Macaca mulatta: one gene and its partner. The protein of the gene in region 2 binds, or shares a complex with, the protein of the main gene of each other region. Links are inferred from orthologs where the notes say so. Each region holds a gene or a part of one and is shown on either strand. Other genes may lie near its edges.

The links.
Region 1: the proteins of RNASEH2A (region 2) and RNASEH2C are in contact, whole or in part, in a crystal structure (PDB 3PUF), measured with the Homo sapiens proteins. The link is inferred for Macaca mulatta from reciprocal best matches to the Homo sapiens genes RNASEH2A and RNASEH2C. Residues at the interface, in NP_006388.2 of Homo sapiens: Thr11, Asn99, Ser102, Thr103, Leu106, Gly107, Arg108, Val109, Val196, Glu197, Lys198, Leu199, Glu225, Pro226, Val227, Phe228, Gly229, Phe230, Pro231, Gln232, Phe236, Leu245, Ala249, Glu250, Asp251, Val252, Ile253, Trp254, Glu255, Asp256; in NP_115569.2 of Homo sapiens: Pro33, Cys34, Glu35, Val36, Ala37, Val38, Ala42, Pro43, Val44, Gly45, Arg46, Phe47, Phe48, Pro50, Ala51, Arg53, Ser62, Phe63, Arg64, Gly65, Arg66, Cys67, Leu68, Leu134, Glu135, Thr136, Lys143, Gly146, Ala147, Thr149.

What each region holds. Positions count from the first base shown.
Region 1 is NC_133419.1:8,667,363-8,678,615, reverse strand, and holds RNASEH2C (ribonuclease H2 subunit C), read right to left. Parts: upstream 5,676-11,253; 5' UTR 5,556-5,675; coding exon 5,384-5,555; coding exon of another isoform or gene 5,300-5,383; intron 5,194-5,299; coding exon 5,018-5,193; intron 4,941-5,017; coding exon 4,821-4,940; intron 4,585-4,820; coding exon 4,558-4,584; 3' UTR 3,971-4,557; coding exon of another isoform or gene 3,836-3,970; exon of another isoform or gene 3,743-3,835; 3' UTR 3,742-3,742; coding exon of another isoform or gene 3,660-3,741; exon of another isoform or gene 3,531-3,659; coding exon of another isoform or gene 3,371-3,530; 3' UTR 3,149-3,370; downstream 1-3,148. Other genes in the region: histone acetyltransferase KAT5, read left to right, coding at 1,437-1,577, 1,659-1,752, 3,371-3,530, 3,660-3,741, 3,836-3,970.
Region 2 is NC_133424.1:13,356,753-13,368,262, forward strand, and holds the start of RNASEH2A (ribonuclease H2 subunit A), read left to right. Parts: upstream 1-5,801; 5' UTR 5,802-6,090; coding exon 6,091-6,217; intron 6,218-6,424; coding exon 6,425-6,496; intron 6,497-6,622; coding exon 6,623-6,749; intron 6,750-6,853; coding exon 6,854-6,941; intron 6,942-9,567; coding exon 9,568-9,705; intron 9,706-9,813; coding exon 9,814-9,901; intron 9,902-11,510. Other genes in the region: PRDX2 (peroxiredoxin-2), read right to left, coding at 338-491, 587-689; THSD8 (thrombospondin type-1 domain-containing protein 8), read left to right, coding at 1,500-1,647, 3,842-4,041. UniProt on the Homo sapiens protein: Catalytic subunit of RNase HII, an endonuclease that specifically degrades the RNA of RNA:DNA hybrids. Participates in DNA replication, possibly by mediating the removal of lagging-strand Okazaki fragment RNA primers during DNA replication.

The DNA of each region.
Region 1 (11,253 bases), on a different chromosome or scaffold from region 2:
TCAAAAAAAAAAAAAAAAACCACAATTAATTAATTTAGCTGGGTGTGGTGGTGCACATCTGTAGTCCCAGGTACTCACTCAGGAGGCTGAGTTGGGAGAATCACCTGAGCCTGGGAAGTCAAGGCTGCAGTGAGCCATGACTGCATGATTGCACCACTGCACTCCAGCCTGGGCGACAGGAGTGAGACCCTGTCTCAAAAAAAAAAAAACAAAAAACCCACAATGTCTGAAATGCAGGAGAAATCATGTGCAGAGGTAAGGTTAAGCAGCATGATTCATAATTTTGCTGGGGTAATCCCTAAGGCAGTTATTTTGTTAAATTACATAGTTCCTTAACTCTGTCGTAGAGTAGCAGATCAGTTCCCAGGAGGTGTGACTGTGGATGTAGAATGTTAGGTTTTTTTTGTGTTTTTTTTTTGAGACGGAGTCTCACTCTGTTGCCCAGGCTGGAGTGCAGTGGCGTGATCTGGGCTCACTGCAAGCTCCGCCTCCTGGGTTCACGCCCTTCTCCTGCCTCAGCCTCCCGAGTAGCTGGGACTACAGGCGCCCGCCACCTCGCCTGGCTAATTTTTTGTATTTTTAGTAGAGACGGGGTTTCACCGTGTTAGCCAGGATGGTCTCAATTTCCTGACCTCGTGATCCGCCCGCCTCAGCCTCCCATAGTGCTCGGATTATAGGCATGAGCCACCGCGCCCGGCAGAATGTTGTGTTTTTTGTTTTGTTTTGTTTTTTGAGACGGAGTCTCGCTCTGTCGCCCAGGCTGGAGTGCAGTGGCCGGATCTCAGCTCACTGCAAGCTCCGCCTCCCAGGTTTATGCCATTCTCCTGCCTCAGCCTCCCGAGTAGCTGGGACTACAGGCGCCTGCCACCACGCCTGGACAATTTTTTGTATTTTTTAGTAGAGACAGGGTTTCACCGTGCTAGCCAGGATGGTCTCGATCTCCTGACCTCGTGATCCGCCCGTCTCGGCCTCCCAAAGTGCTGGGATTACAGGCTTGAGCCACCGCGCCCGGCCAGAATGTTAGGTTTTTTAACAGCTAGACTCCCAAGACTGTCAGAGAGAGCTTCTCTGAGGAGCGGTGGTCGGAGTCTGACTTTGGACACATTAGTTTGTTGATTGCTGTTAAAAACATTACAGGGTGGAGTCTCCTGGCCAGGCTTAGATGGAGGTGTGCAGAGTAAGTCGGGAAACTTGCCCGACTGAGCAGGGAGGCATTCAGACACATCACACATCTGGCACAGAGGCTTTTCAACACTGAGGAGCAGCCCTGCGTAAGCTGCGGGCTAGTGGAGTGGGTCAGGCCCAGCCAGGGAAGAATACTCATCACCTATCAGTCTGGGGCATAGCACAAACAGTGAAGCTCCTGGTTGACCCTGAACCACTGGCCAGGCTCAAGGCAGGATACCCAGAATGGTGACAAGCCTTTTCTCTTGCAGAGTTATTCCCAGAACCTGTGTCTTTTGGCCAAGTGTTTCCTTGACCATAAGACACTGTACTATGACACAGACCCTTTCCTCTTCTACGTCATGACGGAGTATGACTGTAAGGGCTTCCACATCGTGGGCTACTTCTCCAAGGTCAGTGCCTGTCCAGGCTGTCCCTGTGCCCTATCCTGAGCCAGGTCCCTTCCCTGACACTCACCTGCCCCCCTTTTCCAGGAGAAAGAATCGACAGAAGACTACAATGTGGCCTGCATCCTAACCCTGCCTCCCTACCAGCGCCGGGGCTACGGCAAGCTGCTGATCGAGTTCAGTGAGTATGTGTGCTGCAGCCAGGGGGTAGTGCACCCATCATCGGTGCCCCATAGGCAGATGTGCCAGGCTACCGTGATTCTCAACCGTGGCTGTGCAGCCCGGTCTCTAGGGGAGCCAGCCAGAAATAACAGTGGCACTCTCCCAGAGTTCTCTCCATTCAGGCTGACTGCCCTGCTTATCTGGGGTAGGTTCTCAGCCCCACAGTTTGCTCCTTGGCCAGGGTTCTAAGTGCCACTCAGCTTTCCCCAAATCTGACTTACATGCTCCTGCCTGGAGCCATGGGCAGGTTAGTGAGCCGCTGGTGCTCATGTATCTGGTAACCGGTGTCACATGATACAAGTCCTTGGGCAAGGACCAGTGGTTAATGTCCCCAGTTGTCGCCTGAGCCGTGCAGGCAGGTGTCCAAAATGCTGTCAACAGATACACGTAAGCATGGAATTCTCCCTTGCTCCTCGTGTCCAGTGAGGTCAGTCTCTTAAAGCCAGAAGGGACTCTGACCTTCATCACACATGAGCTCTTCAGTGCCCTCCCCAACCCTGAGGCTCCTTCTCCTTCTCAGCCTCTTCCCCATCACCCCGCATTCTATCTCACCACTCACTTGGAATAACTAAGCTCTGACCTGAGAAAAGAAGAGGAAGTTCTAGCTGTTTGCCTGGTGAAGACACAGAGGCTTTACTTGATCAAGGTTATGGTCCATTCGAGAAATGTATTGGTTAAGTGATGCCCAGATGGGGTCACATCCTCAGAACTTCTCAGCCTGGTAGCACAAGTGGATGCTTGAAGAAACTCAGTCTTGGAGCTCAGACTGCAATGGAGATGGGATGTGGGTGGGACTACCAAGGGGCTAAGGTCCATTGTGAGGGTGAGGAAGGGCTTCTAGAAGTCACAAACATCCCAGGTCCCTGGTGGGGAGAATGAAGACACTGCCCAAGAGATGTGAAGCCACTCAGGGCTGTGCAGGGCCAGGATCTCACTGGGGACTGCCTCCCAGTGCGCAGCTATCAGCAGGAGTTGGAGGGAAACAGCCATGGTGGGGGTCAGTCACCTGGCTCTCAGGAATGGTCTCCCCAACTTGGGAAGCACTTTGGTGCACCTTTTCTCCTTGCATCCTCACAACCACCCAGTCAGGCCACTCAGGTCTTAACAGCAGCTGACACTCCCAAGATCCCAGCTAGGAGGACTGATTTGACTGAGAATTCAAGCATTCTCAGGCCTGGATTAGAGACAGGAATCTGTCCCCACTTCCTTCCTTACATGCCCAGACATGGAGCCTGGGATGGCAAAGGAAAATTGGAGGCACTTTCTTCCCCTGAGCCATTTTCCCTGCATCCCCTGCCCATAAGCCTTCACTGGCCTCTGATCACCCTCGTGGTTGACTGCAGCTGCTCCTCTCAGTGCTCTCATGCCCTCCACTGTGCTCAACTCCCAGGGGAAGAGTGAATACTCGTTAGTTCTTCCTGAGGGAACTGAGGCGCAGAGAGGCGGAGGCCACAGAACTGCCAAGTGGCAGGGCCATGATGGGAACTAGGCAGCCTGCCTTGGCGACCTGTGTTTTTAAATGTTGCTTATGTTCATCTATGACCTCTTACTCACCCTCTCCTGCTCCATTGCTTTAGGCTATGAACTCTCCAAAGTGGAAGGGAAAACAGGGACCCCTGAGAAGCCCCTCTCAGACCTTGGCCTCCTATCCTATCGAAGTTACTGGTCCCAGACCATCCTGGAGATCCTGATGGGGCTGAAGTCAGAGAGCGGGGAGAGGCCACAGATCACCATCAAGTGAGCCTGGCGCTGCCTACCTGGGGGTACATGGCATGGCCTGTCTGTTCCTGGGCTTTCTCACTCTCTCCTGGGGCTCCTGGGGACAGATGAAGGTCCTCAGGGGACCTGACCTTTGCTCTCCTACAGTGAGATCAGTGAAATCACCAGCATCAAGAAGGAGGATGTCATCTCCACTCTGCAGTACCTCAATCTCATCAACTACTACAAGGTAGGGAGGCAGGCAGGGTGGAGACAGGTGTGTGGGATGCAGAGTGCAGGCCCCTGTCCGCTGGCCACTTGCTGAACCCATCTCCTCTGCCCAGGGCCAGTACATCCTCACACTGTCAGAGGACATCGTGGATGGCCATGAGCGGGCTATGCTCAAGCGGCTCCTGCGGATTGACTCCAAGTGTCTGCACTTCACTCCCAAGGACTGGAGCAAGAGGGGGAAGTGGTGACCAGGCACTGCCCACTGCAGTGCTAAGACAGCAGGACTGGGGCTGATAGCCCACCCCGCCCTCACTGCAGCTCCCACAAAGCACTCTAAGGGAGATGGGGCTGAAAAGCTCGAAAAGGAGGGGACAGGCCTGGCAGGGCCCATTGGTGCCCGGCACCAAGGCGAGCTCAGGGCTCAGGCTAACTCCAAGGTCAGCTGGCCACAGGCCCAGGCCTGCTCTGAACCAGGGATCAGAGGGAGCCAGGCAGCTGTGTACAGTGAGATGGGGGGTGGGGGAGCTCTGTACAGAGGGCTGGTGGTTGTAAAAATTTCTTTTGTAAAGTAGAAGTTGGGGGTGGGGTGGGTGCTGGCTGCAAAAAATTCTGGCTTCTCTTATCCCCATTGCCCACGGCAATAAATTGTTTCTATATGCCAGAGCCATGCAAGGTTCTTGGGGGAGAGGGGTCCATGCTGGCTTAGGGGCTCTAAGGTGCCCGGACTCACAGGTGCTGTAAAGAGCTCCTTTATTGGGGTGATGGAATCAGTGGTTCCAAAGAGCTGGTTTACTGCTGTGAAGGGATCGCAGCTTTGAATTTCAAGCTCTGGTTCTCAGTCCTCGGGCACCTGTGCGTGAATCTGCAAGAGGAGTCGCCTCTACTGTTGGACTTGTAAGGCAGGGCGGCAGGCTGGCCCCCAGACCCGGGGAAGGACCCAGCTGTTCAGAATAACCCCTTCTAGACATGGCTAGGAAGAGTGGTCGGGGAGCTACGCTTCCCACGCACTACCCAGTAGAATCCTCCAGGCTTCGTCTGCCCAATTGTGCTCCACAGCCCATCCACCCGGGGACAAGACGGAACTCCTCATCTACTCACCGCTGCCGCAAGACTGGGCCAAGTTAGGGCCCCACGCACTTTGGCATCCGGGCCAGGGATGGTCTCCAGACCCCACAAGGTGAAGTGGCTGAAGCTGGCAGTGGCTCCAATGAAGCGGTCCTGAGGAAGGGGCCTGGCTCAGCATCGGGACTACAGGTCCCGCCCGCACCCCCTTTCAACCCTATCCCTTTGCTCACAAAGTCCCGTTCCAGCGGCGACTCTTCTTGGTCGTCAGTCCCGGAATCCCGCAAGGGGTCTGGCTTCCCCATGGACACTTCCTTCTCTTCCGTCACCATCACGTATCCCACGAGGCCAGGCGGCACCGCCACCTCCTCGCCCCGTAGACAGCGGCCCCGAAATGACACTTCGAGTCCTGGAGCGGGAGGCGCAAAGAGCCTCAGGCAGGACCCACACTGGGCCCAGGACCTGAGCCCTGCGGAGCGAGCCCGGAGCTGCCCTCCCGCCACTTCCGGACGCACCACGATCCCCCGGAGCCCAGGAGATGAGGGGCGCGCGGACCGGCGCGGGGGCTGCCGGGACTGTAGTCCGGCCGCGATGCTCACCCTCGGGGCCCTGGCGGATGGCAGGCGTGAAGAAGCGCCCCACCGGGGCGGGCCCGTCCACCGCGACCTCGCAGGGCAGCAGGTGTAGTGCGACGGGGGCGGCGTCGCGCAGCGTGGCGGAGCGCAAGTGGACGCGGTGCCTCTCGATGGCCGCTTCGTCGCCGCACTCCATCCTCGCTTCTACGCGACGCAAGGGCTCGCGGGTTGACGCTGAAGCTGGCGCGGAAAGCGCGCAGGGCCTCTCAGGAAGCCCCCCGCAGAGCCTCACGGGAAGCCGCCGCGGAGCTTCACGGGAAGTGTAGTCCCCTTACCCCTAATGCTTTCCCTGGGTCAAAGTCCTAGGACTCCCCTCCCCTCCCTTCCCTTCCGCGCCCCGCCCAGTCTCTCCCCTCCCCACCCCACCCCTTCCCTCCCCTCCCCTCCCTTCCTCCCTTCCTCCCTTCCTCCCCTCCTCCCCTCTTTCCCTTCCCTTCCCTTCCTTCCTTTCCTTCCCTTCCTTCCCTCTTTCTTTTTCTTATTTTTTATTTTTTAGAGTCTCATTCTGTCGCCCAGGCTGAAGTGCAGTGGCGCGATCTCAGCTTCACTGCAACCTACGCCTCCCGGGTTCAAGCGATTCTCCTGCCTCAGCCTCCGGAGTAGCTGGAATTACAGGCTAATTACCTAATTTTTGTATTTTTAGTAGAGACGGAGTTTTGCCATGTTGGCCAGGCTGGTCTCGAACTACTGACCTCAGGTGATCCTCCAGCCTTGGCCTCCGGAAGTGCTTGGATTACAGGCGTGAGCCACCGCGCCCAGCCAGGTTTTTTTCTTGTATTGTTTTTAATGGGACATGATCGTTGTAAAAATCTAAAACGATTCTGAACTCTTTATATTGGTTGGTAGATGGGTTCTTCATTTTTAGTTTATTAGGGACATCAACCCTTTTCTCAAATGCATTGAAAATGTTTTATCTGTGGTCTGTCTTGCAAACCTGTGTAAAGGTGATTTTTGGTGGACAAAGACTTATTTTTGTTGTTGTTTGGTTTTATAGACAAGGTCTCACTCACCTAGGCTGGAGTGCAGTGGTTTGATTGGCTAACTGCAGCCTCGACCTCCCAGGCTTAATCCATCCCCCAACCTCAGCCTCCCGTGTAGCTAGAACCACAGGCCTGCGCCACCACGCGGCTCATTTTTGTATTTTTGGTAGAGGCAGAGTTTTGCCATGTTGCCCAGGTCTTGAACTCCTGGACTCAAGCTATCTGCCCGCTTTGGCCTTCCAAATCACGCTGGAATTACAGGCGTGAGCCACTGTACCCGGGATAAAGACTTATTTTTTGTAGTCAAATTTATCAACATTTTTCAGTCTTTTAGATTTCACAATTCTCTTTTTGGTTTCTCAACTCTTCTCTAATGTTTATTTGTTCAGACACCCAACTTAGATATTATTTTTTCAAGTTCTCACATAAACACAAAACTGGAAATTTAGATTTAAATTGCGTTTAATTTATACATCCCTGGACATCTGGGAGCTGGCCTTGGTATTCTGTTGAACATAAATTTCAGAGAACATCAGCATCGGACAAGGTCACTCTGTGACCATGAGGGAGCAAGACAGAAACAGAACCTCTCCATCATCACATCTGAACGCTGGCAAAGGTGAACACTGTCCAAACCACAAAAGGCATGAAACATCCCTCTTTCTCCCACAGGAGAGTGACTGTTGTTTCCTTACCAATTACAGCACTAGCCTCCAACTAATCTTCTCTCCTGGCCAAGATTCATTAAGATAGTCCGTCATAGACATACCCCCACCTCTGACAGCATCCAAGCCAGAGAGAAGCCTGGCTTCCCTAAACCCTGACTGAAATCACTGAACATGGGCACAAATCCTCCTTTAAGTCCTTTCTAGCACCTTCTTACTGAAATGCCCCAGAGTGCAGGAGTAATATGCCCAATTTGTTCAACTGCAGATGTATTCCTGGTGGTCTTTGGCTAGAGTGGCAGATTAATTTAGAAAAAGGCTTGCTTTAGTTTTCTATCACGAAATACTTAATTCCATTTATTCACATCTCCTTGGATATCCGTACAGTTGTGAGGTTTTGTTCATATATAATAGTTTAAGTTTATTTCTTCCTAGGTTATATTAATAATTGTTTGTATTAAAAACTGAGGGGCTGGGCATGACTGGCTCACACCTGTAATTCCAGTGCTTTAGGAGGCCAAGATGGGGGAGGATTGCTTGAGACCAGGAGTTCGAGACCAGCCTGGGAAACATAGCAAGACTCCGTTTCTACAAAGAAAAAAATGTTTTAAACATGAGTGGGGCACGGCGGCATGTGCCCGTAGTCCCAGCTACTCAAGAAGCTGAGGTGGGAAGATCACTTAAGCCTAGGAGTTTGAGGCTGTTATTCGAGTCACAGTTGCACCGCTGCACACCAGCCTGGGTTACAGAAGAAGACTCTGTCTCTAAAAACCAAAATTGGGGCCGGGCGCGGTGGCTCAAGCCTGTAATGCCAGCACTTTGGGAGGCCGAGACGGGTGGATCACGAGGTCAGGAGATCGAGACCATCCTGGCTAACATGGTGAAACCCCGTCTCTACTAAAAATACAAAAAACTAGCCGGGGGAGGTGGCGGGCGCCTGTAGTCCCAGCTATTCGGGAGGCTGCAGTGGGAGAATGGCGTGAACCCGGGAGGCGGAGCTTGCAGTGAGCTGAGATCGCGCCACTGTACTCCAGCCTGGGCGACAGAGCGAGACTCCATCTCAAAAAAAAAAAAAAAAAAAAAAACCAAAATTGGGGCTTTTATTTTTTCATTTTATTTTCTGACTGATTTTTTTTTAATCTATAGCAGGGGGTGGCAAACTTTTTCTGTAAGGGGTCACATAGTAAATATTTTAGGTTTTATGGACCTTATGGTCTCTGTCACAGCTACTCACCTTCACCATTCTAGCATGGAAACAGCCATAGACAGTACATACATGAATGAGCATTGTTGTGTTCCAGTAAATCTTTGCAAAAACAGACAGTGGATTGGATTTGAACCACAGGCCATATTTTTCAGACCCCTTGTCTGTAGCAAACCTGTTGATTTTTATATGTTAATTTTCAAACTAGATATCTACTGAATTCTTTTGTTCCTAATGATTTTTATTTTCTTAAGAAAATAAAATATTAGCCAGAATTAGCCACCTCTCTTTCAAATAATGATAATTTCACCTCATCATTACATCTTCTTTTTTGTTTGTTTTCATTACACCTTGTAATTTGTTTTCTTTTCTTTCCTTTTCTTTTCTTTCTTTTTTTTTTTTTTTTGAGACAGAGTCTCGCTCTGTCGCCCAGGCTGGAGTGCAGTGGCCAGATCTCAGCTCACTACAAGCTCCGCCTCCCGGGTTTACACCATTCTCCTGCCTCAGCCTCCCGAGTAGCTGGGACTACAGGCGCCCGCCACCTCGCCCGGCTAGTTTTTTGTATTTTTTAGTAGAGACGGGGTTTCACCGTGTTAGCCAGGATGGTCTCCCCACCAGCATGGTTCAAACTTCATTTACCATGGAATTTTAACGAATTCTGTAAGGTCCAAACCTTGCTGCTGGCTCTTTAGTCCAAAAAACATGACATAAATAACAGATGGGCATCATGATTAGAACATCACTGCTTTCGAAGACTAGTGGTGATTGGCTGGTCAGTGCTGGTCTGTCATTCAGCTCATGCAGACGCCAGACAAGTGTATAGTTGGGTTGCCTCCTTGTCTCTCAGTGATCAACAGATATAACATTTTATGAAATTCAATGATTGGGCCGGGCGTGGTGACTCACACCTGTAATCCCAGCGCTTTGGGAGGCCAAGGTGGATGGATCACTTGAGGTCAGGAGTTGAAGACCATCCTGGCCAACCTGGTGAAACTCCGTCTCTACTAAAAATACAAAAATTAGCCAGGCGCCCGTGGTGGTGGGCGCCTATAATCCCAGCTACTCGGAGGCTGAGGCAGGAGAATCACTTAAACCTGGGAGGCAGAGGTTGCCGTGAGCCAAGATTGTGCCACTGCACTCCAGCCTGGGTGACAGAGCGAGACTCCTTCTCAAAATAATAATAATAATAATAATAATAATAATTTTAAAAATCGGATGAATAACTGGAAGGGGGAATGGCTAACAAATATAAAAGTACAGCAAAAAAAAATGAGGATAAGACTGGAAGTGAAATTGTATATGAAGCTGTGGCACGAACTATATTGAAAGTCTGATGAATATCATGATATAGTTTGGATGCTTATCTCCTCCAATGCTCATGTTGAAGTGTGACCCCCCCAATGTTGGAGGTGGGGCTTAGTGGGAGGGGTTGGGCCATGGGAGTGGATCCCTCAGGAATGGCTTGGTGCCCTCTTCAAGGTAATGAGTGGTAGTAAGTTCACATGAGAACTGATTATTTAAAAGTGTGGCAGCTCCCCATCCCTCTCTCTTGCTCCCTCTCCTGCCATGTGATACACTGCTCCCCCTTTGCCCTCTGCCATGGTTGTAAGCTTCCCAAGGCCTCACCAGAAGCAGGTGCTGGAGCCATGCTTCTCGTACAGACTGTAGAACTGTGACCCAAATAAACCTCTTTTCTTTATAAATTACCTAGTCTCCAGTGTTCCTTCAGAGCAACACGAAATAAACTAATACATATAATAAACGAGGTAAAGTTGCTTCAACATATTTTTTAAATTTTTTCTTTTAATTTTTTTTTTTTCTTTGTTGCCCAGGCTAGTCTTGAACTCCTGAGCTCAAGAGATCCTCCCACCTCAGCCTCCCAAAGTGCTGGGATTACAGGCATGAACCAACACGTCCAGGCTGCTTCAACATCTTTTAGTTTAAATTGCACTGGAAACAGAAGTCGTTTGTGGTTGAAATGGAATGTTTACTTCTATGTTGAACTGAAGACTGTAATTTGTTAACAATCCCCATCGGTTTGGCCAGCATTCCGGCTGAAGCATTGAAGTTAATTGCCACATTGACAGAAAACAGTAATTTCAAGGAGACTGTAGAAACTTTTACCAACGGTAAAGGGTGGTTTGTTTCATCATTTCAGAAGTTGGCATGAATTGATTAATGTGAAACTGTCAAGCACAGATGAGGATATTGCTGTGAATTCTGCAAGGATTCAGATGTCAAGGATTTTTTTTTTTTTTTTTGGTCAGGGTCTCGTTCTGTTGCTCAAACTGTACTGAAGTGGCACGATCATGGCTCACTGCAGCCTCAAACTCCTGAGCTCAAGCAATCCTCCAGCCTCAGCCTCCCAAGTAGCTTAGATGATAGGCATGTGCCACCACACCCAGCTAGGTTTCTGCATTTTTTTAGAGGCCAGGGGCGGTGGCTCATGCCTGTAATCCCAGCACTTTGGGAGGCCGTGGCTGGCGGATCACCCAAGGTTAGGAGTTCGAGACCAGCCTGGCCAACATGGTGAAACCCCATCTCTACTAAAAATACAAAAATTAGGCCGGGCGTGGTGGCTCACGCCTGTAATCCCAGCACTTTGGGAGGCCGAGGTGGGCGGATCACAAGGTCAGGAGATCGAGACCATGGTGAAACCCCGTCTCTACTAAAAATAGAAAAAATTAGCCGGGCGCAGGGGCGGGCGCCTGTAGTCCCAGCTACTCGGGAGGCTGAGGCAGGAGAATGGCGTGAACCCGGAAGGCAGAGCTTGCAGTGAGCCGAGATTGCGCCACTGCACTCCAGCCTGGGCGACAGAGCGAGACTCCGTCTCAAAAAAAAAAAAAAAAAAAAAAAAAACAAAAATTAGGCCAGGCATGGTGGCTCACACCTGTAATCCCAACACTTTGGGAGGCCAAGAAGGGCGGATCACCAGGTCAGGAGTTCAAGACCAGCCTGGCCAACATAGTGAAACCCCATCTCTAC
Region 2 (11,510 bases):
CTAGCTGTGTCATGGGGTACAGCTCTTCACTTAGGTGAACCCGAGTTTCCATCTTTATGAAATAGGGCAGCACAGCCTCCCCCCCGGGAACTAGTAGATAGAGCAGATAAAGTTGCATCTGAGTTGCATCTGCAATTCTATGTGCCAAACAACTAGCTCAACTAGCTGCCAAATGCTAATTACTGCCATCCTTAAAAACTTGGGCGGCAATATTTCCATTATTTTCAAGATGGGGAAACGCAGGTTCCAGAGATTAAGCAATGGTCATGAAGCCACACAGCTCGGACCCGAGGGTGTGAGCTTAGCTGCAACCTCCTTCTCTGGCCCCTGCTCATACCAAGCCAGGTGGGTGAACTGAGAATCCACCGAGACGCCCAGCACTTCGCAGCCCAGCTTGCGGAAGTCCTCGGCACGGTTGCTGAACGCGATGATCTCCGTGGGGCACACAAAAGTGAAGTCCAGAGGGTAGAAAAAGAGGACCACGTACTTCCCTGGGGAGGAGGGACCAAGAGGAGTTAGGGCCCAGCCTCTCTCATGCACGGCCCCGCTTCTGCTTCTACCTGGGTCCGCTCCGGGCTGCGCTCACCTTTGTAGTCCGACAGCTTCACCTCTTTGAAGGCGCCGTCAACCACGGCTGTGGCCTTGAAGTCAGGGGCTGGCTTTCCGATGCGCGCGTTACCGGAGGCCATGACTGAAAGCTGAGACCCCTGTCCGGTCAGTGCGCCCGGGAAGACCCTTTGTCCTCCCACCCCAAGGTCGCGCTGCGTGCTGGGCCCTGTGACTGAGTCAGCACGGCGGAGGCGACAGCACCAACCCTCACCCTCCCGGGTACCGGGTCTGCGAAGCCCAGAGGCTGCCGGAGACCCGCCCTCCTGACCAGAGCACGAGTGACCCAGCCACTGCCACTAGCACCCCACGAGCGAGTGGGCCGGAGCGCGGTGTCGCAAGCCCCAAGTCCAGAAGGAGACAGTGAGGCCCCCTCGAGCAGGGGGCGGGGAACAGGGCGATCGGGCCTGCACTGCAAGGCTGTGGCCTCGGTTTCCCCCGCAAGGACAAAGGAGGCCACTACAGCGGATGGAAAACAAAGGCGGCCAGCACTGAGGTCAGGATCCGGCCAAAGCAGCTTGAAGGGGGTCCTCCCGCCAGGTGCACTCTGTGTGTCTATACCTGCGTGGGCAAGGGCTAGACGCACGGACGATCACACGTGTGGACCCGCGTTCTCAGCGCCAAGTGAGCCCTGGGCCGCGAAGCCTTTTATGCCCGGCCCGAACCAAGATGTGCGCTGCGCAGGGGAGGGAGCAAACGAGCCGAGCGGTCGGGTCCACTGCACCCTCAGGTGCGGGGGAGCGTGCGGCCGAGTCCATGCGCCTGCGGGAGCCGGGGGGAGACGTGTTGCCTTCGGCCGGGACCACTGCACCGGCTCGCGGGGGTAATGCGGCCGCCGCAGACTCCGCGCACAACTCTGCCTGCGAGCGCGCTGGGTGCCGTTGGAGTCGGGCATGGCCCGGACCCCGGCGGCGCTGCTGCTGGCGCCTCTGCTACTCCTGCCGCTGGCGACCCCTGCCCAGGTCTACCAGGACTATCAGTACTTCGGCCAGCAGGGCGAAGGTGACACCTGGGAGCAGCTGAGGCTGCAGCATCTAAAGGGTAACCTCAGGCGGCGGGGGTGACGATGTCCATAGGCTCCCCGTTGCCCTACTTCTCCTGCTGGCTGCAAAGGGACCTTCCTCCGCGGGCTGCAAATCTCCACCCAGCTCTGCACTGGAGGCGTCCCCTTGGGCTGGTTACTGTTCTCTGAGGCTCGGTTTACTCTTGGATACGTTGAAATAGATACTGCTTTAAAGCAGCTCCCAGGGGAAGAGGGTGTGGGTAGGACATTGAAGCTGTCACTCGGGGATAGGTGCCAGGAAGGGCAGAAGCAGAGAAAGAAGGGGGCGGGCAAGCTTGGGAAGTCAGAGAGGGTCCGGTTGCAGAAGACCCGTGACCAGTGCTGCGAGAACGACAAGCGAAAACCCCAAATGGAAAGATTTGGGGAAAGAATGTCCAAGAAAGAGGGAATAGCAAGTGCCAAGGTGAAAAGGCCTAAAGGAGAAATGGGAAGAGGTCGGTGAGATGTGGCAGAGTGGGTGTGGGAGGGTAGCAGGTGTCAGATCTTGGTGAGCCGCGAGTTGGGATAAGATCGGACTTGGAGGCCTGGCGCGATGGCTCAAGCCTGTAATCCCAGCACTTTGGGAGTCCGAGACGGGCGGATCACGAGGTCAGGAGATCGAGACCATCCTGGCTAACATGGTGAAATCCCGTCTCTACTGAAAAACACAAAAAAACTAGCCGGGCGAGGTGGCGAGCGCCTGTAGTCCCAGCTACTTGGGAGGCTGAGGCGGGAGAATGGCGTAAACCCAGGAGGCGGAGCTTGCAGTGAGCTGAGATCTGGCCACTGCACTCCAGCCTGGGCGACAGAGCGAGACTCCGTCTCAAAAAAAAAAAAAAAAAAAAGAAAAAAAAAAAGATCGGAGTTGGGATAAGATCTGTCTCATAGGGGAAAGGGGCAGATTCAGTAAAGAGCTGTTTGAAGTGATCATAGTGGCCGGCGAGGTAGCTCACACCTGTAACCCAAGCACTTTGGGAGGCTGAGGTGGGAGGATCCCTTGGTCTCAGAGACCAGTCTAGCCTGGCCCACATAGCAAGACTCCATCTTTACAAAAAAGATTTTAAAATTAGCCTGACCTGATGGCCTAGCACTTTGGGAGGCCGAGGCCGAAGGACTGCTTGAGCCCAGGAGTTCAAGACCAGCCTAGGCAACATGGAGAGACCCCCTTCTCTACAAAAATAAATAAATAAATAAAAACAAAAAATAAATTAGCCTGCCATGGTGGCATGAGCCTGTCCCAGCTACTCAAGAGGGTGATACAGGAGGACCATTTGTGCCAAGGAATTTGAGGCTGCAGTGAGCCATGATTACGCCCTTACATTCCAACCTGGGTAACAGAGCGAGATCCTGTCTCAAAAAATAAAAATAAAAATAAAAAATAAAAAATAAACCTGATCATAAAAATTTGGTTTGTATATGCTAGCGCAGCACCAGGAGATTTACTTACCTTCATTCTGTCAATTATGCCATTTATCACTTGATAGTCCTGCTGGTCAGTTGGCATTGTGCCTGCTTCAGGGCCATGGTCACACCCCTGAAGACAGAAGTCAGCATCAGATGGCGGGCACCAAGGATGTTATAGGACACTCACAACTGTGCAGGCTGGCACAGCCTGAAAGTGTCAGGTTGTAGTTCCTCTGAGCCACTTACCCTGTGTATGAGCTTGGAAGGTTGGCTTGCTGTCTCTTGGTTTTCCCACCTGAGACTCATGGAAAGATTAAATGAGGCCAGACATGGTGGCCGGCTCACACCTGTAATCCCAGCACTTTGGGAGGCTGAGATGGGAGTATCACTTGAGCCCAGGAGTTCCAGACCAGCCTGGGCAACATGGTGAAGCACCATCTCTGCAAAAAATTAGCCAGGCATGGTGGCATATGCCTGTAGTCCTAGCTACTTGGGAGGCTAAGGTAGGAGGATTGCTTGAGCCCAGGAAGTTGAGGCTGCAGTGAGCTGTGACTGTGCCACTGCACTCCAGCCTGGGCGACAGAGCGAGACCCTGTCTCAAAAAAAAAAAAAAAAAAAAAAAAAAATTAAATGAGATAGTCTACGGGGGAGTGTCTGGCATAGAGGCAGAGTCTAGCGAATATGCGCTTCTCTTATTTGTTAGTATCTTTATCTTTCTTCCTCTCTGGGGGAGGAGATTGGGAGTAGGCCGCCTCCACGTAGGTCTTCACCTCTGCCCTCCTTCTCTAGAAGTCGAGGACTCAATCCTTGGCCCGTGGGGAAAGTGGCGGTGTCTCTGCGACCTGGGCAAGCAGGAGCGCAGCCGCGAGGTAGTCGGCACAGCGCCAGGCCCAGTTTTCATGGACCCGGAGAACCTGATCCAGTTAGGACCCTGCCGGCAACGGGATTGTCCATCCTGCAAGCCCTTCGACTGCGACTGGAGGCTCTGAGCCCGAGTGAGAGAGGGGCCCAGAGGACGCCGGGCCGGGGCAAGCCGCGGGGCCCAGGGTGGGCGCGGAGGGAGGACGTGCGGTGCGTGGCGGGTATGAAGTGAATTTGGGGAAGGGAGAACTGGGGCTCCAAGTCTTGAGTGACTTGAGGCTGATATGGTTAGGCGGAAGCTGAGTCAGGAGCCGAGAGCCCCGCTGATATCTAGGGAGAAAGGCAGAAATATGGAGGGGGCGCTGGGCGCTAGGACTCACCCCTGTAATTCCAGCATTTTGGGAGGCCAAGACAGGCGCATCTCTTGAGTCCAGGAGTTCAAGACCAGTCTGGGCAATATAGTTGAGATCATCTCTCCATAAAAATGTTTAAAATTAGACGAGCGTGGCGGCACATGCCTGTGGTCCCAGCTACTCGGTAGGATGGGGAGGGAGGATCGCTTGAGCCTGGGAGGCAAAGGTTACAGTGAGCCGAGATCGCTACACTGCTATCCAGCCTGGGAAACAGAGTAACACCCTGTCTTTAAAAAAAAAAAAAAAAGTGGAGGGGGAGGCGCAGAGGAATAAAAGGAGATAAAAAGACAATGAACTAGGACCCTGAGGAAGGGGCATGAGCCTGGTAAGGGGCGGGAACCCACAGGCAGAGGACATAAGCCCCAGTGAGTCCAGGGAATAGAAGAAGTGTGGAGGCCAGGCACTGTGGCTCAGGCTTGTAATCCCAACACTTTGGGAGGCGGAGGCGGCCAGATCACTTGAGCCCAGGAGTTTGAAGCCAGTCTGGGCAACATAGTGAGACCCCGTCTCTACAAAAAATACCAAAAATAGTTGGGCATGGTGGTGTGGTGTGCACCTGTAGTCCAGCTGCTTGGGAGACGGAGGTGGGAGGGTCGTGTCAGCCCAGGAGGTGGAGGTTGCAGTGAGCCAATATCGCACCACTGCACTCCAGCCTGGGCAACAGAGAGAGACCCTGTCTAAAAAAAAAAAGGGGGGGGTGTCGGGGTGGGGGTGGGGACGTTCATTCTAAGTTAGGAGGAATGAGCTTCTATATAGTGGGCACAGACCCTGAGCAGGAGTCCACTGAGGTCTGTGATCTCCAATGGGGGTGGGGAAGGCTTGGCCTGAATGAGAGAGAGGGTAGGAAGCACAGATCCTGCAGGGAGTGGGGGTGGGCTGAAGGCAGCAACCAAGAGAGGGAGTTTGGGGACTCCAAATCCAAAAGCCTGAGTTTAGTGGAAGCGGGGCTACCTGGTTCAGGGGACTTAGAATGTGTACAGAAGAAGGGACTGCAGGCCGGGCGCGGTGGCTCAAGCCTGTAATCCCAGCACTTTGGGAGGCCGAGGCGGGTGGATCACGAGGTCAGGAGATCGAGACTATCCTGGCTAACATGGTGAAACCCCGTCTCTACTAAAAATACAAAAAACTAGCCGGGCGTGGTGGCGGGCGCCTGTAGTCTCAGCTACTTGGGAGGCTGAGGCGGGAGAATGGCGTGAACCCGGGAGGCGGAGCTTGCAGTGAGCCGAGATCATGCCACTGCACTCCAGCCTGGGAGACACAGCCAGACTCCGTCTCAAAAAAAAAAAAAAAAAAAAAGAAGAAGGGACTGCGAGTACAGGGCCTGAATCCAGGTGGAAGTCGGGGACGCAGTGATGCGGGGACCCGTGTCCTGGGACAGGGGTGATATTTGACCCTTAGTTCCCCATTAGGTTGGGTCTTCGAAGCTGCGTCTCAGTTTCCCTTTTATTTCCCCTTTTTCCCACCGGCCAACGCAGGCGGGGCCCCAGAGACCGTGAAGCAGAGCTTGCAAAGTGACCCGGTCCACCGAATTCCCCACGCTGAGTGTTCGGCCACAGTCCTTCGGGACTACAATTCCCAGAAGGGCGCACGGCAGCGGCGTCGGCGTCGGCTGCGTAAGCGTCCACGGCCGTGGGAGCGACAGGGGCGTGTTCTGCCCGCGGATTGGCCGGAAACAGGCGCCACTGCAAGGCCCGCGGAAAACGCGCGCCGAGACCCGCTCCCGCGGTGTTAGTTCTTGCAGCTGGTGGCGGCGGCCGAGGCGGCATGGATCTCAGCGAGCTGGAGAGAGACAACACGGGCCGCTGTCGCCTGAGTTCGCCTGTGCCCGCGGCGTGCCGCAAGGAGCCTTGCGTCCTGGGAGTCGATGAGGCGGGCAGGGGCCCCGTCCTGGGTGCGCACCTAGGGCCAGGGAGGGGAGGGGCGTGGTACGGGGGATGAGGGAAACGGGAGTCGGGATTGCACCGCACCAGGGGAGGGGATGTGGTCGTGGTGATGGCACCCAAAGAAGCAGTGATGGTAGAACAGGGATGGATGGCAACTTTCACGGGCTCAGTGATTGGACCCCGGCTGCGAGAAAACTGACACCCCTTCTCCCCAGGCCCCATGGTCTACGCCATCTGTTATTGTCCCCTGTCCCACCTGGCAGATCTGGAGGCCCTGAAAGTGGCAGGTGAGCCCGAGGTGTGCTTCTGGGGAAGGGATTCCCGAGTATGTGCAGGGGCAGGTGAGAACTGAAAGGGGAGGACAGGAACTGGGAGAAGCAGCTGTTCCACTTCTCTTCCAAACCTCCTTCCAGACTCAAAGACCCTATTGGAGAGCGAGCGGGAAAGGCTCTTTGCGAAAATGGAGGAGAACAGGGACTTTGTCGGCTGGGCGCTGGACGTGCTATCTCCAAACCTCATCTCTACCAGCATGCTTGGGCGGTGAGGGGTACCCGGGGGGGGGCTGTGGGAGAGGGGCAGCCAGCATGGGCTGACTGGGCTTTCTTCCTAGAATGAGGTTAACTGGGCTCTGTTCCCCACCACAGAGTCAAATACAACCTGAACTCCCTGTCACATGATACAGCCACTGGGCTTATACAGTATGCATTGGACCAGGGTGTGAACGTCACCCAGGTGAGTTAAGTGTTGAGTTGTCCCCATTTGGTCATCGCAGGATAAACTGGCGACAAAACAGGAGTTCCAGACTGCAGTGAGCCATGATCATGCCACAGCACTCCATCTTGGGTGACAAAGAAAGACCCCCCTAACCCAAAAATAAAAATGGAGGCCAGGCCCAGTGGCTCACGCCTATAATCGCAGCACTTTGGGAGGCCGCAGCGGGTAGATCACCAGAGGTCAAGAGTTCGAGACCAGCCTGACCAACATGGTGAAACCCCGTCTCTACTAAAAATACAAAAATTAGCTGGACGTGGTGGTGGGCGCCTGTAATCCTAGCTACTCAGGAGGCTGAAGCAGGAGAATCGCTTGAACACAGGAGGCAGAAGTTGCAGTGAGCCAAGATTGTGCCATTGCACTCCAACCTGGGCAACAGAGTGAGACTCTGTCTCAAAAAATAATAATAAATAAAAATAAACTAAAAATAGGAGGCTAGGCACGGTGGCTCAAGGCTGTAATCCCAGTGCTTTGGGAGGCTGAGGCAGGCAAATCACCTAAGGTCAGGAGTTGAAGACCATCCTGGCCAACATGATGAAACCCTGTCTCTACCGAAATCGCTTGAACCCGGGAGGCGGAGGTTGTAGTGAGCTGAGATCGTGCCATTGCACTCCAGCCTGGGGGACACAGCAAAAAATAAAAATAAAAGAAGTAAATGTGGGCAAAAACGTGCAGTGGGCAGATTCAGCATCAGATACGTCTGGAGTGCCTCAGGCATATTCCTTGCTACTGTTGATTTCGTGCTCCTGTTTCTGCCCTAAATGTGTGCCACACTGAGGACCACAGTGTAGCCCCTAGTCCCATCTCCATCTAATCTCTCCCTCATCCTAAAGGCTCAGTCTGCAGAACAAATCCCACATGTGTCTCCCTGCTACCTCTGTCCTAGCCCAGGACACCCCCCACACCCTGGACACCTGCTAAGCATCGTCTCTCATCCCCCACCCTCCTGTCCCCTCCAATCTGTTCCCCATGCAGCAACAGAAGGTAGTCTTTTTGAAATGCACATCTCCTGTGGCTCACACCTGTAATCTCAGCACTTTGGGAGGCCCAGACGGGCGGATCACGAGGTCAGGAGATGGAGACCATCCTGGCTAACACTGTGAAACCCCGTCTCTACTAAAAATACAAAAAATTAGCTGGGCGTGGTGGCAGGTGCCTGTAGTCCCAGCTATTCAGGAGGCTGAGGCAGGAGAATGGCGTGAACCTGGGAGGTGGAGTTTGCAGTGAGCCGAGATCGCGCCACTGCACTCCAGCCTAGGCAACAGAGCGAGACTCCATCTCAAAAAAAAAAAAAAAAAATGCACATCTCAACATTTAGTTTTCCGATCACAGTGGAAATTAAATCAGAAAAATTTACAGTCGAGTGGGGGAGAATTACATTAAATTACCAGAGAAAAACATAAATCAGCATTGCCTCGAATGCTCTCAGTGAAAGAACGGACCATTTTGAGAGAATAACAAGGCAAAATAACCTCGACGTAGGAATTGTATGCTGGGTGTGGTGGCTTATGCCTGTAATCCCAGCAGTTTGGGAAGCTGAGGTGAGCAAATTGGTTGAGGCCAGGAGTTCCAGACTAGCCTGGGCAACATAGCAAGACCCCATCTCTACAAGATGAAGAAAGAAAGGAATTATAGCAAGGTAGGCCTTGCTGAGGAGGGACCTGAGGATCAGGTCCAAATGCAGAGCTGGCGATGCAGTAACTGGCATAGACAGACAAGGGACCTACCCGTGGGGGTTCAGGGCCTAGCCTGGGCAGAAAAATGTTTAGCTGGTAAACAAAAAATAAAGGTGGTTTCTGAAAACAGTACTGCTGTGGAGATACCACTTTCCCCCAGCAGCTCTTGACCCCTCTCTTCGGTGCTGTAGCCATAGACCCCCGTGCAAGGGCCCAGCATCATGGACCTGGTCCCAGCTCAGGGCCTTTGTACTGGCTGTTCTCACACCTAGAGCCCTCTTCCCCAGATCTCTGCACGGTTTAGTTCCTCACCTCCTTCAAGCCTTTATTCACCACTACACCTAGCTAATTTTTTATTTTTTGTAGAAACGTGGTCTCCATATGTTGTCCAGGTTGGTCTCGAACACCTGCCCTCAAGTGATCCTCCTGCTTTGGCTTCCTAAAGTTGGGATTACAGGCGTGTGCCAACGCACTCTACCACTTTTTTTTCTAGTGTTTTCTGCCACCTCAGTTCCTAGAATAGTATCTGGCATGCAGTAGGTGCTAAATAAGTGTAGAGCAGATGCAGCATGATCAGAGGAAGCCTCTTCAGGAGGTGATTTTTTTTTGTTTTATTTTATTGTATTTATTTTATGTTTTTGTAAAGATGGGGTCTCACTGTGTTGCCAAGCCTGGTCTCAAACTCCCAGGGCGATCCTCCCGCCTCAACCTCCCAAAGTGCTGGGATCACAGGCGTGAACAACGTTGCCTGGCCTGGGAGGAGATGTTTGAGTTGAAATCCCTGATTGATTCAGCCTGGGGACGGGCTGTGAGAAGAGGATTCTGGGTAGCAGGAAGAACGTGCCAGGGCTGTGAGGCTAGAGCATTGGTACATTGTTTGTTCAATTAATATGTGTTTGTTGCCGTGGCAGGTGTTTGTGGACACTGTAGGGATGCCAGAGACATACCAGGCGCGGCTGCAGCAAAGTTTTCCCGGGATTGAGGTGACGGTCAAGGCCAAAGCAGATGCCCTTTACCCAGTGGTTAGTGCTGCCAGCATCTGTGCCAAGGTCAGTACCCTAGTAGCCATCGCCGGCTTCCAGCATCCCACTATATAAGGGCCAGGCATGGCCACCACGGGGGAGGAGGGAGATTCCAGGTGGCTGTCTTGCCCACAGGTGGCCCGGGACCAGGCCGTGAAGAAATGGAAGTTCGTGGAGAAACTGCAGGACTCGGATACTGACTATGGCTCAGGCTACCCCAGTGGTGAGCAGACAGTGACCATGGTACTAATGTTGAAATGGCCAGAGCTGAGCACACTTCTGAGGTTTTCTTTTCTTCCTTTCTGTCGTTTATCATTTTATTTTGCTTATTTTTTGTTTCTATTTTTTATTTTTATTTATTTATTTATTTATTTATTTTTTTTTTTTGAGACGGAGTCTTGCTCTGTCGCCCAGGCTGGAGTGCAGTGGCGCGATCTCGGCTCACTGCAAGCTCCACCTCCTGGGTTTACGCCATTCTCTTGCCTCAGCCTCCCAAGTAGCTGGGACTACAGGCGCCCGCCACCTCGCCCGGCTAGTTTTTTGTGTTTTTAGTAGAGACGGGGTTTCACCGTGTTAGCCAGGATGGTCTCGATCTCCTGACCTTGTGATCCGCCCGCCTCGGCCTCCCAAAGTGCTGGGATTACAGGCTTGAGCCACCGCGCCCGGCCATATTTTTATTTATTTTTTGAGACAGAGTTTTGCTCTTGCTGCCCAGGCTGCAGTGCAATGGTGCGATCTCACCGCAACCTCCACCTCCTGGCTTCAAATGATTCTCCTGCGTCAGCCTCGCGAGTAGCTGGGATTACAGGCACGTGCCACCACGCCCGGCTAATTTTGTATTTTTAGTAGAGACGAGGTTTCTCCAGGTTGGTCAGGCTGGTCTTGAACTCCCGACCTCAGGTGATCTGCCTGACTCAGCCTCCCAAAGTGCTGGGATTACAGGCGTGAGCCACCGCGCCCAGCCTATTTTTGTTTTTATAAAAATGGGGTCTTGGTCGGGCGCGGTGGCTCACGCCTGTAATCCCAGCACTTTGGGAGGCCGAGGCGGGCGGATCACGAGGTCAGGAGATCGAGACCATCCTGGCTAACACGGTGAAACCCCGTCTCTACTAAAAAAAAAAAAATGCAAAAAATTAGCCGGGCGAGGCGGCGGGCGCCTGTAGTCCCAGCTACTCGGGAGGCTGAGGCAGGAGAATGGCGTGAACCCGGGAGGCGGAGCTTGCAGTGAGCCGAGATCGCGCCATTGCACTCCAGCCTGGGCGACTAAGCGAGACTCTGTCTCAAAAAAAAAAAAAAAAAAAAAAATGGGGTCTTGTCATGTTGCCCAGGCTGGTATCAAACTCCTGGAGTCAGGCAGTCCTCCCATCTTGGTCTGTCAAAGTGCTGGGATTACAGCCATAAGCCACCACCCCTGGCCCTTTTTTCCTTATTTTTTTAAAGAGATGGGATCTCCCTATGTTGCCCAGCCTGGTCTTGAACTCCTGGGCTTAAGTGATCCTCCTGCCTTGGATTTCCAAACAGCTAGGATTACAGGTGTGAACTACTATGCCTGGCTGGAGGTTTTCTAAATTGTTCTGGTCACCCTACTCCACAGCGAAAGAGGCCAAGTGTTAGACAGTGGTGCCATTTGTTCATGGCCACACAGCCAGTGAGTGACGGAGCTGGGTTCCAGGCCATAGGATTGCTGCTGTCTTCCCCGCTTCCCACTTTACTGTCTCTCTGGAGCCCCAGTGATGAACTGAGACCCACGGTGGGCATCTGCCCCTTTGTTAAGGGGAAGGGGACCAGGCGTGGTGGCTCATGCCTGTAACCACAGCACTTTGGGAAACTGA